Linked DNA regions of Diceros bicornis minor. The protein of the gene in region 3 purifies or fractionates together with the protein of the main gene of each other region. This does not show direct contact. Links are inferred from orthologs where the notes say so. Each region holds a gene or a part of one and is shown on either strand. Other genes may lie near its edges.

Evidence for each region.
Region 1: the proteins of ATXN2L (region 3) and LSM12 purify together in Homo sapiens (affinity purification with mass spectrometry; 4 studies listed by BioGRID and IntAct, with this or other methods). This does not show direct contact. The link is inferred for Diceros bicornis minor from reciprocal best matches to the Homo sapiens genes ATXN2L and LSM12.
Region 2: the proteins of ATXN2L (region 3) and G3BP2 purify together in Homo sapiens (affinity purification with mass spectrometry; 4 studies listed by BioGRID and IntAct, counting the BioPlex papers as one, with this or other methods). This does not show direct contact. The link is inferred for Diceros bicornis minor from reciprocal best matches to the Homo sapiens genes ATXN2L and G3BP2.

The regions. Positions count from the first base shown.
Region 1 is NC_080757.1:42,705,785-42,709,529, reverse strand, and holds the start of LSM12 (protein LSM12), read left to right. Parts: upstream 1-1,015; 5' UTR 1,016-1,052; coding exon 1,053-1,176; intron 1,177-2,983; coding exon 2,984-3,117; intron 3,118-3,745. UniProt on the Homo sapiens protein: Nicotinic acid adenine dinucleotide phosphate (NAADP) binding protein. Confers NAADP sensitivity to the two pore channel complex (TPCs) by acting as TPC accessory protein necessary for NAADP-evoked Ca(2+) release.
Region 2 is NC_080747.1:61,142,450-61,146,194, reverse strand, and holds the start of G3BP2 (ras GTPase-activating protein-binding protein 2), read left to right. Parts: upstream 1-840; 5' UTR 841-923; intron 924-3,745.
Region 3 is NC_080765.1:22,122,530-22,126,274, reverse strand, and holds the start of ATXN2L (ataxin-2-like protein), read right to left. Parts: upstream 2,610-3,745; 5' UTR 2,127-2,609; coding exon 1,825-2,126; intron 1,205-1,824; exon of another isoform or gene 1,183-1,204; coding exon of another isoform or gene 1,145-1,182; intron 1,118-1,144; exon of another isoform or gene 804-1,117; intron 783-803; exon of another isoform or gene 711-782; coding exon of another isoform or gene 691-710; intron 677-690; exon of another isoform or gene 434-676; intron 270-433; coding exon 233-269; intron 24-232; coding exon 1-23. UniProt on the Homo sapiens protein: Involved in the regulation of stress granule and P-body formation.

The DNA.
Region 1 (3,745 bases), on a different chromosome or scaffold from region 3:
CTAGAATTTCTATATTGGGGGGGGTAGGTGGGTTAGGGGTGGCAATTGGTGATGGTAGAGCTTGAAAATGTATCTGCATAGTACACGTTAAGAAACTGTTTTGTATATCAGATGGACATTAATGGAGGGGACTCCCAAAATCCTGCCCCAAGGCCCTCTTTGTCACTACCACTGCTCCTCGCTTCTGCCTTTTGCCTGGCTTTCTAGAGGAGAGGGCAAGAGGGGAGATGGGGAAGCATCTTGAGTTCCAAGGATGATGGGTGATCATGGAGGAACTACTATTTATTAAAGACCTACTACATGCCATGCATTTGTACATATTATCTCACTTAACCTCCTGACTACTCTATGAGGTATTATCTAATATAGTATAGCAGTAAATAGCACTGTCTTTGGAAAAAGGTAGATTGAATCCTTGCTAGCTGTGCGACCCTGGACAAGTTTAGTCTCTCTAAGACTTAGTTTCTTAACCTGTAAAATGAAGATATTGATTCTTACCTCAAAGCGTTGTTGGATGCTCAATAAATGATATACAAAAGGTTCAGGTTTAGTAATTTGCTCCAGGTCATAGTAAGTGGCAGACCTGGGATTCCGAATCCGGTTTAGCTAATTCTATAGCCAATGTTCTTTCCACTACCACTTTGTAACTAGGTATAATCATTTTGAGCAAGTTTCGTTAAGTCCTCTGGGCCTCGGATTCCTCGTATGTAAAATATAGAGTTCATTCATTAAACTCTTGTGTCAAGGTGTGCACATAATGAAGACTGCAGCTCCTTCCTCCTTTCCCTTTTCATTCCACGTAGGTCATTTATCCTTAACTTCTAAAATGGACCCTGCAAGCACTTTACCAAGCTGGCGCAGCTGCACAAACATAATTATCCAGATTCTCCTTTATTTCCTCTTCTACCTAGGCTCCCGCCCCCCCCAGCACCAGGCCACGCCCTGGCGTGTGACGACAGCACGCCCCGTGCGTCGCGGCGCGGCGCTCACTGGGGGCCCGGCTTTCGCCCGCTGCTGCCGCCGCCGCCGCCGGCCGCGGCTGCTCTCCCAAGATGGCGGCTCCTCCGGGCGAGTACTTCAGCGTTGGGAGCCAGGTGTCGTGCCGGACGTGCCAGGAGCAGCGGCTGCAGGGCGAGGTGGTAGCCTTCGACTACCAGTCCAAAATGCTGGCTTTAAGTATCCTTCCTTGCGCGGAGCCCGAGGCCGGGCCAGCGTGTATGTGTGGTGGTGGCGGGGTGGGGGACGACGGCGGCGGCTGGGGCCCTCTCCGGGCCTAGGGGCGACCGGCTACCGCGGCACCCCGAGCGCATGCGCACGGATGTGAGCTCCCCTCCCCCTCGCACGGGTCCGTCGGTCTGCTTTGGGGACCCTGTCTCCCACCCCTTGTGGGAGCTGGGCCCCGAGCGAGGGTCGATGGGTGGAGGGGTGCTTGACACGCGGATGGCTTTTCGGGGGGAACGATATGAGAGGGAACACAGTGATGAGAAGAGGGGGTGGTCATCGGAGGGGGCTGGTGGACTGGAGCCTGGATGGAAGGGGGGCGGATAAAATCATGTGGGGAGGGGGTGTGTAGAGTAAGGAACTGCTAGTAGGGCAAGGGTGTGGAGTTTAGGAGGGGATTTGGTCCAAGGGAGGGCGGCGGGGTGGTGAGCAAATGGGCCTCGCCTGTTTTGGGGGAGTGTAACGGCAGGACAGAGTTTGTATCTGAACTGGGGATAGGGGCTTGTTTTGCTGGTGCGTGTGTATGCGTGGTGCCGTTGGGGGCGGGGAGTGCTGAATTTTAGGTTTCTCAGTCGTTTGAAAATTGCTGTTTTGGGGATGTTTGCATTGGAAACCTGGTCCAGGGAAAGGACCATGTTTTTCAGGGGCGTGTGAAGGGATGTGTGGGTTACAGGTGAAAGAGTAAGTTATCTTCTCTTGCTTAGCTCAGCACATGGAATTCTGACTTTTCCATGGTAGTAGCCTACCCTTTTGAAATTGGCAGTGTTAAGCAGAATGGAAAAGGTGGCCTGCTTCTTTGGGGTGGAAGTGATTTCTGAATTACTCCAGGAAACTCAATCTTGGAAACAAAATACTTCCTGGTTGTAATAAATGTGCCACCCCTTCCCCTTTTATTTGAGCCACAGGTGGGTTTATTTGGATTTTTTTTTTTTTTGAGGCGTAATCCTTTATGGCTTCTTTCAAAAGGAAGTTTCCTACTGAGTCTGCTGCATTTGAGTGGCAAGTATTTTAATTCATTTAACCATTAGTAGATTTCTAGCTTATTAGGAGGATGTTCTCTGAAGCTAATTACAGCAAGAACATTTACTTTTTTTTTTGCTTTTTTTTTAATGCAGGAATTCATACCTGGACCAAATAAGACCCTTTACATTAGTAGTTTAGTTGGAAGCGTTTTGGAATGAGGAATTAACTCTATTTTTCATTGGCATACAGTATGCTCTTGATAAATGGTTGGAGAATGAGTGAGTGAATGAATGAATAAATGGGTTCACTAGCTGGGTCACCTTGAGTGAGTTTCCTTTCCAGTACTGTAGTTTTCCCCTCTGCAAAATGGGAAATCTCAAATCTAAAAAAGTGAAAAGAGCACTCTATAGATGTAGGGAGTATTATGGCAAGAACAGAAAGTGCCTGTCATTTGTGGTTCATTAGGTTCAAGACAAACAGTATACACATGGTATTGAAACTGCATTATTCCTCTCCATAACACTGGTAGAGAGAAAGTGACAGAAACCCTTTTGAGGCTTCCAATTTTGGATTGTATTTGGCTTTGAAAAGGTTGAGTTCTTTTGGTTATGGGGTTGAGCGGGAGGAAGGTGATAGGCAGAGATTTCCTGAGGAGAGCTGTGATTCTCGTGAGGCTCCCCCCTCTTGCTCGTGGCACACCTTTTACACAAGCCTTGTGTGAATTGTGTTTTCCATGCCCCTTTTGGGATGTGTTGGTACTCTGCTTGCCCCTATTTCCTTAACTTTATTTTCTCACCAGAATGTCCCTCTTCCAGTGGAAAGCCCAACCACGCAGACATCTTGCTCATAAACTTACAGTATGTTTCAGAAGTGGAAATAATTAATGACCGAACAGAAACCCCTCCTCCCCTAGCTTCACTCAATGTTAGTAAGGTAAGGACTTGAGGGCAGTTCTGGCTCTCCAAAATGGTGGGAAAATTGAGTCTCATTGACTCTTGGTGATACAGACATTGTCCATTGTTTGGTTTTCATTTTTTCATTGACTTATAATTGTTTGTTCTGATATCTTTTTAAGAAATATATCAGTTTAGTTTTTCTCTTTATTCCTGGATGTTTTCAGAAGATTTTAAGACACATCTTAATGCCCCGAGTTGAGAGCTCACTTTTGTCTTTTGTCAAAGAGGGCATTTTTTTTTTTTTTTTTTTTAATCTGGAGTCCACGTGTGAACTTATGTTGTTGGTGGGGTTGGGTAGGGGTGTTGCCTGTGAACCTCCTGAAATTGTGTATTTGTGTTTCCTGGGTGAAGATATGGAGTATTTTTCAGATTCTCAGAGAAATTCATGACCTACAAAAATATGAAAAGCACTGCCTTGGAGCTTCATTTTTGTCTTCATGTTTGAATTTTGAGGTCTAACAAAATTAGAGGTTTAGGATATTTTAATCTTGAACGTACAAATTGATATCTGGGATCCCCCAAATCGCTGTGTTGATTCTTCAGTTCAGCCAGAGTTCATGTTGATCAGTAAAAATAATACCCCAAGCCCTATTGTAGCCTTTGCT
Region 2 (3,745 bases), on a different chromosome or scaffold from region 3:
TTAGCTGCCTTAGTATGTAAAATGCTTAGTATGTATTTAGCAACACCTAAGTACAGAACGGGCAAAGAAATAGACTTTTTCCCTTCTGTGGAGGCCACGTCCTATTTTCTCTACATCCCACGGCCTAGCACCCAGTAGGCCCTGTAATATATATTATTTTGAGCTGTTAGGATGAATTTGACCTTCTCGGTGGAACTTAAAACATCCATATCCTAGGACGGGTTAATAAACAATTATAGATGAGTTTAGGGTGCAAACAGCTGAAACCACTGGCTGCATTTTATGCTTGTCTACAGCAGCAACCTGCAGACGCCTAGTTCAGAAAGAAAATTACTAAATTCTCTCCCTCATCACATTAATAATCAAAAGGAACCAGAAATATCGGTCTCCAAAAGACAGCGCAGCAGCGAACCGGCTCCTGTTCACGCGCGATCTCGAGAGCGGCGAGGCAGGAGCAGTAGAAAGGCAGCCCCCTTGTGACGTCAAATCAGCGGACTCTCGCCCCGGCTTGAGGCCGGTTCCGGTTCCCCGACTTTCCGGGCGCGAGAGTACGTGAGCGCGGCGGCGTTCTGCGCGTGCTTCGCAGAGGGACGCGAGAAGGTTGGGTCCAGCTCGCGAAGGAGATGTGTGATTGGCTGAAGCCGTGCTGGGGGGTTCCCCAGGCCTTTCGGCAGGGGTAAAACAATAAGAGGGGGCGGTGGAAAAGGGGGCGGGACGTCCGTGTTCCTTGTCGCTCGCCGCAGCGTCTGGCCCCCGGGAAGAGGTGGTTGTAAGGGAAGCGAGCTCGCGGCTTTCCGGCTTCCGAGGCTTGAGGTTTGGCGGACGGGGGAGGCGGCAAGCGAGAAGAATCCGCGGCAGCCGGTCCTCGGCGACTCTCCTGCTGATCTCGGCGCCGACGTACCCCCTCCCACTGTTGGTTGGAGGTGTGTACGGGGGCCGGGAAGGGAGGTCGGTGTGGTGGTCGGAAGGGGACATTCCCTTCGCGCGCCGCGGCTCGAGGCAACCGTCCCGTGAGCCCTGCTGTCAGAGGTGTTGCGGCAGAGCGAGACATTGTTCTTGCCGGCTGCCTACGCTGCCGTGTGTGCTTGAGAGAAGCCGAGCCGTTCCTCTCAGGTGAAGGATGGGAGGCCGCGTGGGAAGGGAAGCGGCCGGCCCGCGTTGTGCGGACGGAGGGCCCTGAGGGCACAGGTGGGGCCGGGGTCTGTTGGGGATGAGGTGGCGAGCTGGGAAGGGGGACGCAGCGGCTCCCAAAGGCGCGCTGATGCAGGCTTAATGTGGGACGTGCGGAGTGGGTTTTCTGGAGAGGATGTTTTAGGGTGTGGAGCCCACCAGCCTTCTTTCCGACTCATTTGCGTCTCTTATTGCCGGTTCCCTGGGAGCGGAGAGGCCGTCGCCGCCCCGCCCGTGGGGGAGGGGACAAGAGGCTGTGTCGGCGGAGGCAGAAGCGACGCAGATGCGAAAGTAGCGGCCTCCGGGCACCATTTCTGTGCACCGAAACAGAATCCGGGTTTGAAGGTAGTCGCCGCTCTGGTTATCCAGTATCTAGTGGTCCGTGGTCTTCGACTCCCCTCGGGTTTATCCCGAACGTGCTCAGAGATCCGAATTACATATAACGTAACGCCTTCTTCGTGCCCTTTTTATGCAAACGTTCCCTTATTGACCCAGGAATCGAAAAGATGTTTGAGTGCTTTGGGAAATGGGTTTTTTTGTTTCCCTCTTTCTCCACTTTTTTGGGGGGGAACAGAAAGGATGGTCAAGAGGAGGAATATACGCTTCCCTGAATTGTGTTGATTTTATTAGTCGAATATGATGGAATTTTACCTGCTTCTCTATAAGCAGATTTCCTAAGATGTCCCTGTGCCGCTTTGGAGCAAATATAGATTTGCATCAACCATTTTCCGCATAGATCAGTTTTTTTCCTCTAAGGTATATCTAGTTTTCTTAACAGGTTTCTTTTTTTTTTGGAAGGGAGGTGCCGTGCCTTTGCTCTCTTTAAAACAAAACAACAACAAAACCCACGTGCACCAAAGCTGGAATAATAGCAAAGTTGTTTCCTCTTTCCCCCCCCATATGATTGTTGTGATATTAACTTCAGTTAAAATGCTGGTTTTTTAGGTTCAGGGCTCCACAATTCGTGCTAGTCGTCCAAATGTTAGCATTGCGTGTACCTGGATCTGTGAACCATTAACGGCAGTTAGGAAGCCCCGTATGCTGGAGGGGAAGAAGATAGGAATTCCTTGTTCAGCTCCATATTTGGCAGTTCATATAGCTTTAGGCGTGTGAACGAAGTTTCAAAGTAAACATTTGGCCCTGTTAGTATTCAGTGGTCCTTTTGATATCCAAAATTCCTGGTGTTAAAAAATGGACCGTAGGATTAGTTTGAACTTCTTGGAACTGAATTTTGTTGTTTCTTTGGTGATATTATTTTCTTAAATTTTTAGGATTAGTCATGTGTATCCTTGTGTTATTTAATCTCTAGAGGCTGTTTAATTTTGAAAGGTTATTAAGGAATTGTAGGGAGGATGAGGACCTCCAGTGGATTGCGTACTATCTAAGAGCTGTTATGGTTCAGGTTGTTGAATATTTGAGGTTGAAGTATTGGTCAATGAAGAACAAGTATTGAGAGTGAAGAGAACCAGAATGCTTGTGGGGTGGATGGGGATCAGAAGTACAGAAGGAAGGAGAAAAAAATAAGTCTTGAATAGTTTGATAGTCGAATTGAGTATTTAGTTAGCAGCTGAGCAGTTGATTTGTCAAAAGACAACTCTTGATTTTGAATAGTATCGGCACTGTTGGTAGCAGGAATTTCACTTGAGAGGTCAAAAATGAAAATTTCGATATCAGTTACTGGAAATCTATAAGTACTAATAGTGCCTTTAGTTTTTTAACAGCTTCCTTATGCTGCAGAATTATTGCTGTTGATTAACCATTATCAGGATTGAAAATTCTTTCATAGGTTGCTTTAAATAAGATTTTTTACCGCATTTTTTGCTGAGTGGGTATGGAGGTGGGGAATGACCCTTTTTTAAGGCTGGTTTTGAGAGGTACAAACTTAAGGGTTGTTTCTGAACTTAAATTCAGTAGAATTTAATTGACAAACATAACTTAGTTAATCTCCCTGTGGAAACTTAAGAGCTGATAAAACAAATTGGTTCCTTTCCCAGAACTCTGGACTGGCTTCAGAAGCAGTAGAATCAGTTTCTTGATTGCTGCCTCAGCTTATTTTTATCTTTTAATTTCTGGAGATTTTACCCTATTTTGATATACCATGGTAGCTATGTTGGATTGTAGTATGGATTGTGGTATTGTAGTATGACTCTCTTGGATTCCCTGTTACATTCCTGTTCTGTGCTTTTGGCTCCTCCCAACAGTATCAGTATGCTTACAGTTGGACTTTAAAGTTTTTTTGTATTTCTGTGTCCCTGGCTATTCTTCCAAAGCAGTTGTTCTTAACCAGGTGTAGTGAAAACATCACTAGAGGCAGGAGACCTGATTTCAAACCCTCTCTCTCATAACTATAACTGGGGGACCTCGAACTCCTTTCCTTAGGCTCTCTAAACATTGGTTTCATTTTCTGTAAATGAAGCTAATAACTTACCTATTTCAGGGAGATAAAGGAATGTGTAGGTTACTTGTTAAACTTTAAAGCATAATATAAATACATGCTTTTATTTTTGTGGGACAGCATTTCCGTGTCTTAATGCTTGGTCACTTTTAATAGCTTCTAGACTTCAAAACTTGCCTC
Region 3 (3,745 bases):
TTGTTGTAGACACCCTCAAACACCTGTCAGTAACATAAGAGGGAGAAATAAAGGAATAGTCAACATCTCACCTTCCTTCTAAATGCCCACACTCCACTCACACCCACCTTGGATGTGCTGGGCCCCGTTCCCTCCTGACCACCTCTGACTATTTCTGCACTTAATCTGTCCTATATTCCCACATATACATTTTCAGGTCTCTGTACCTCAGAGGGGGGAAAAAGGCACTCACCGGTGACTGTGGGGGTCCCTTTCCTGTGCTTTGTCCCCTATAAGACAAACAAGAAACTAGTTATTTAAATACGTTCAATTTCTCTCACACAACTAAATTCAAAGAACTAGGTATCCTACAACCATACCTAAAACCTACACTGGGTGAAGACGCAGATTTAGGCTACAAACCAATTAAGCAATAAGATTTTCAAACTCTCACCTTATAGAGAAAGAAAGGTGTAGGCATCAAAAGCTACTAAACACATTTTCTCCAAATGCCAGTAAAATAAACCTCAATCAATAACGGTTGTCAATTGTTTTAAGAGGCAATTCAACACAACCTTCTCACTTTCTCCAAGGGGCTACATGCTTCCCACAGACCAATACTACAGTATTCAGTAACCAATAACGCAGCCCAGATGGAAAGGTGGAAGCTCAAAAGCGCAGAATCGGAACTACCTAGCTCAGCCACATTACCTCCCAAACAGAAAAGACATTTTCAGTAGCCTTATGCCCCAAACCCTGGGAGGAAGGTATTCCCTCTACAACCCATCCTCTCGACCTCTTTACTCATTCAGTCTGCTACCCACTCTGGGAGGGGTCACCGATCGCCCGGTAACCCTACTCCTCGCTGGCTGATGTAACCGGCGGTTGAAGAGGGCGATGAGGGGGCCGTTGGCGGGGCCGGGGGGACAGCGCAGCCGCAAAAGCCATCCACCGGGAGGCCTCGCCCGGTCTGCGCCTGCGCACTAAAGCCCACGGGCCTCTTCAAAACCTCCCCTCCCGCGATCAGAACCCCATGCGCCTGCGTGTACCACTGCTCTCAATTCCATTAACCCACACACAGAAGAAACCGAGTGGGGTGTCGCCCACTCATCCACGACCACCAGGCAAACCTTTCCATGCACACTCCCAGCCCCTGCCCTGTTACCCGGGGCTCGCGAAAGCCTGGGTCATAAGACAGAGCATCCGCGCGCACGTACGGGAAGAGCGCGCGCGCGCTGGAGGTTCCCGACCCGCAGTCCTCCCAGTCGTCCCTCCTTCCGTCCCCCCGCCCATCTCGCTCCCCTCCTACTGGTCAGACTGGGAAGGGGGAGGTAGCAACCCGCTTCCAAGTCCCTCCCTCCCCATTGGCCAAACTGTGGGCCGCGCGCCCCCCTCCATTGGCTACGGCCGGGGACCCCTTCCCGCAGCTGACTCCCCATTGGCTGAAGCCGGGGACCGCGAGACCCTTCGCGGTAATGGAGCCGGGGACCCCGATCACCTCTTCACCCCCCCAACTCCTCGTTCCGAGAGCGCTGACGGGATGCGCCCTGCCTGCCCTTAAGGCCCGGGCCCCGAGCCCTACCTAGGCTCTGAGGGCTGAGCACGGCCCTTAAATGCCCTGGTGGCCGCCCCGGGACCCCTTTCCTCCGACCTGTTAGGACCTGAGGGGGGCCCACCTCCAGCTTCACGGGGAGTCCCCCACTCACCCTGGTGCCCCTCAAAGGTGGCGAGAAATGGGGGCCCGCCTCGCGAGTGTACTCAGCTCCCGGCCGCCGGCCCGGAACCGAGCCGCCAACGCCGCCCTGCAGCCTCGGCTCCAGCGCCCGGGAACCCACCCCTCCTCACCTGGCGCTGCCGATGGCCGCTGCCCCTGGCCTCTCCTGATGTTGCTGCTGCGGCGGCGGCGGCTGCGGCGCCAAGATGCTCTCGGCTCCCCGGCGGAGCCCGCTCCCGGCAGCGGCTGCAGGCCCCAGACAGGGGGAAGCGGCCGCGGGAGGCCCTGGGGGAGCCGAGGTGGAGGCCAGGGGCCCCGGGAGGCCGCCGTTGGGAGGGCTGCTGCCTCTGGGAGGCCGACGGGCCACGGCCTGTTGCGTGGGGGGCGGCTGCTGGGGCTGGGAGGTCTGTTGTGGCGGCTGAGGCTTCAGCATGATGGCAGCGTCCGGAAGGGGAATTAGGGGGAAGGGAGGGAGAGAGGAGACCGGGGCTAGGCCTCCGCCGGGGAGCGCGGGAAGCGAGGGGGGATTGGGAAGCTGGGGACCCGCCGTTGGCGGGCGGGGGGAGCCCCGCGGTGTCAGGGGTGGATAGAGAAGACCGCGGCGCGAGGAAGCGCCGCGAGGCGGAAGGGGAGGGGGTCCCGCGGGCCGGAGGAAAGCGAGAGGGCGCGAGCCGGCCTGGCGCGCGTGCGCGTCGCCGGGGAAAGGGGAGGGGGGAGGAGCGCGCGGGCGGGAGCACCGACGGGGGAGGGGCGGGGAGGAGGTAGCGGCGGCGCGAGAGGTCCGCGCGCACCTGGGCGGTTAGCACAGGGCGGGAGAGGAGAAATAAAGAAAGGTGAACCTCGCGCCCTTAGCCTTTAGAATGGGAAAGGAGCAGCGCGGGCGTTCACGCGCGCCAAGGACTTAAGGTCCCTACGTCTCAAACAGCCCTAGAGGCTGGCGGCCGCTGTCGCTTCACAATGAGCGTGTGAAGCCCTGGGGGAGGAGCCGAAGAAGCAGAGAGGAAGGAAGAGCCGGCTGCCACGCCTACGCCGCCGGCGTAGCGTCGCGATGCTTCCGCAGAGTGTGAGATGTCGGGACGTAGCGTGCAGTTCTTCCGCCATTTGGGGGCCCGTGGGCGGAGTCTACGTGCAAAAAAATCCCGGGACTAGACCCACGTTTGCTTTTAGGCGGGTGGTACGCTCCGTGAAGCGGTAGTCTGGACCGTGTCTGCTTTAAATAAAAGACTGACGGACGTTAATCAGTTTGAGCGTGTCGATCTTTTCAGATAAATCTATGCCTAATCCTAAATTTTGAACTTCAGTGATTTTAAACCTAAATGGTTTCTTCGTGCCCTAGAATGAACCTTTAAACTAGTAACAAAGAGACAGTCTGAAGGCCAAAGCTCCTAAGGTCTAGTACAGAATCCTCCACCCAACTCTGCAATAAAGCCAGCCTTCATTCATTCAAAATTAGTTGGGCATTAGGACATTAGGCTAGATGTTTGGGATACAACTGTAATTAAACTACTTCCTGCCCTCAAGGAGTTCAAGCTAGTGGTAACTTCAGAAAATTAGATCTATTAGGTGAAGCACAGGGCACTATGAGCAGAGAGAAGTGACACCTAATCCAGCTTTGGGTGATGGATTTCTAGTCAGAAGAAATAGGATGTGACAAGCCAAGAAAATTTCAGCATGGCTGGAGCATAAAATTAAAGAGGGAGGAGGTTAAAAAAATATGAGACTGCAGAGGTAAGTAACCTGGGACCAGATTTTAAAGAGATTTGGATATTATCCTCAAAGCAGTGGGGGCCTTTTACAGAAAAATGAAGAGATCGTATTTGCATTTGTAACCTGGAGAATAGAGTGGAGCAGTGATGGGTCTGTGGTCTTAATCCCAGTGAAACTTCCAATATCTCAATCTCTCTTCGCTCCAGGCATTATTATTGAAGTCTTCCCAACCCCTCTCCCCCAAACACACACAGCTGGCTAAAAGTCTGCCTTAGTCCTCGGGAAGTACTCCTTCACCCCTGCCTCACTCGTAGCTTCAAGTGTGTTAGGTTTCCTTCCTGTGTG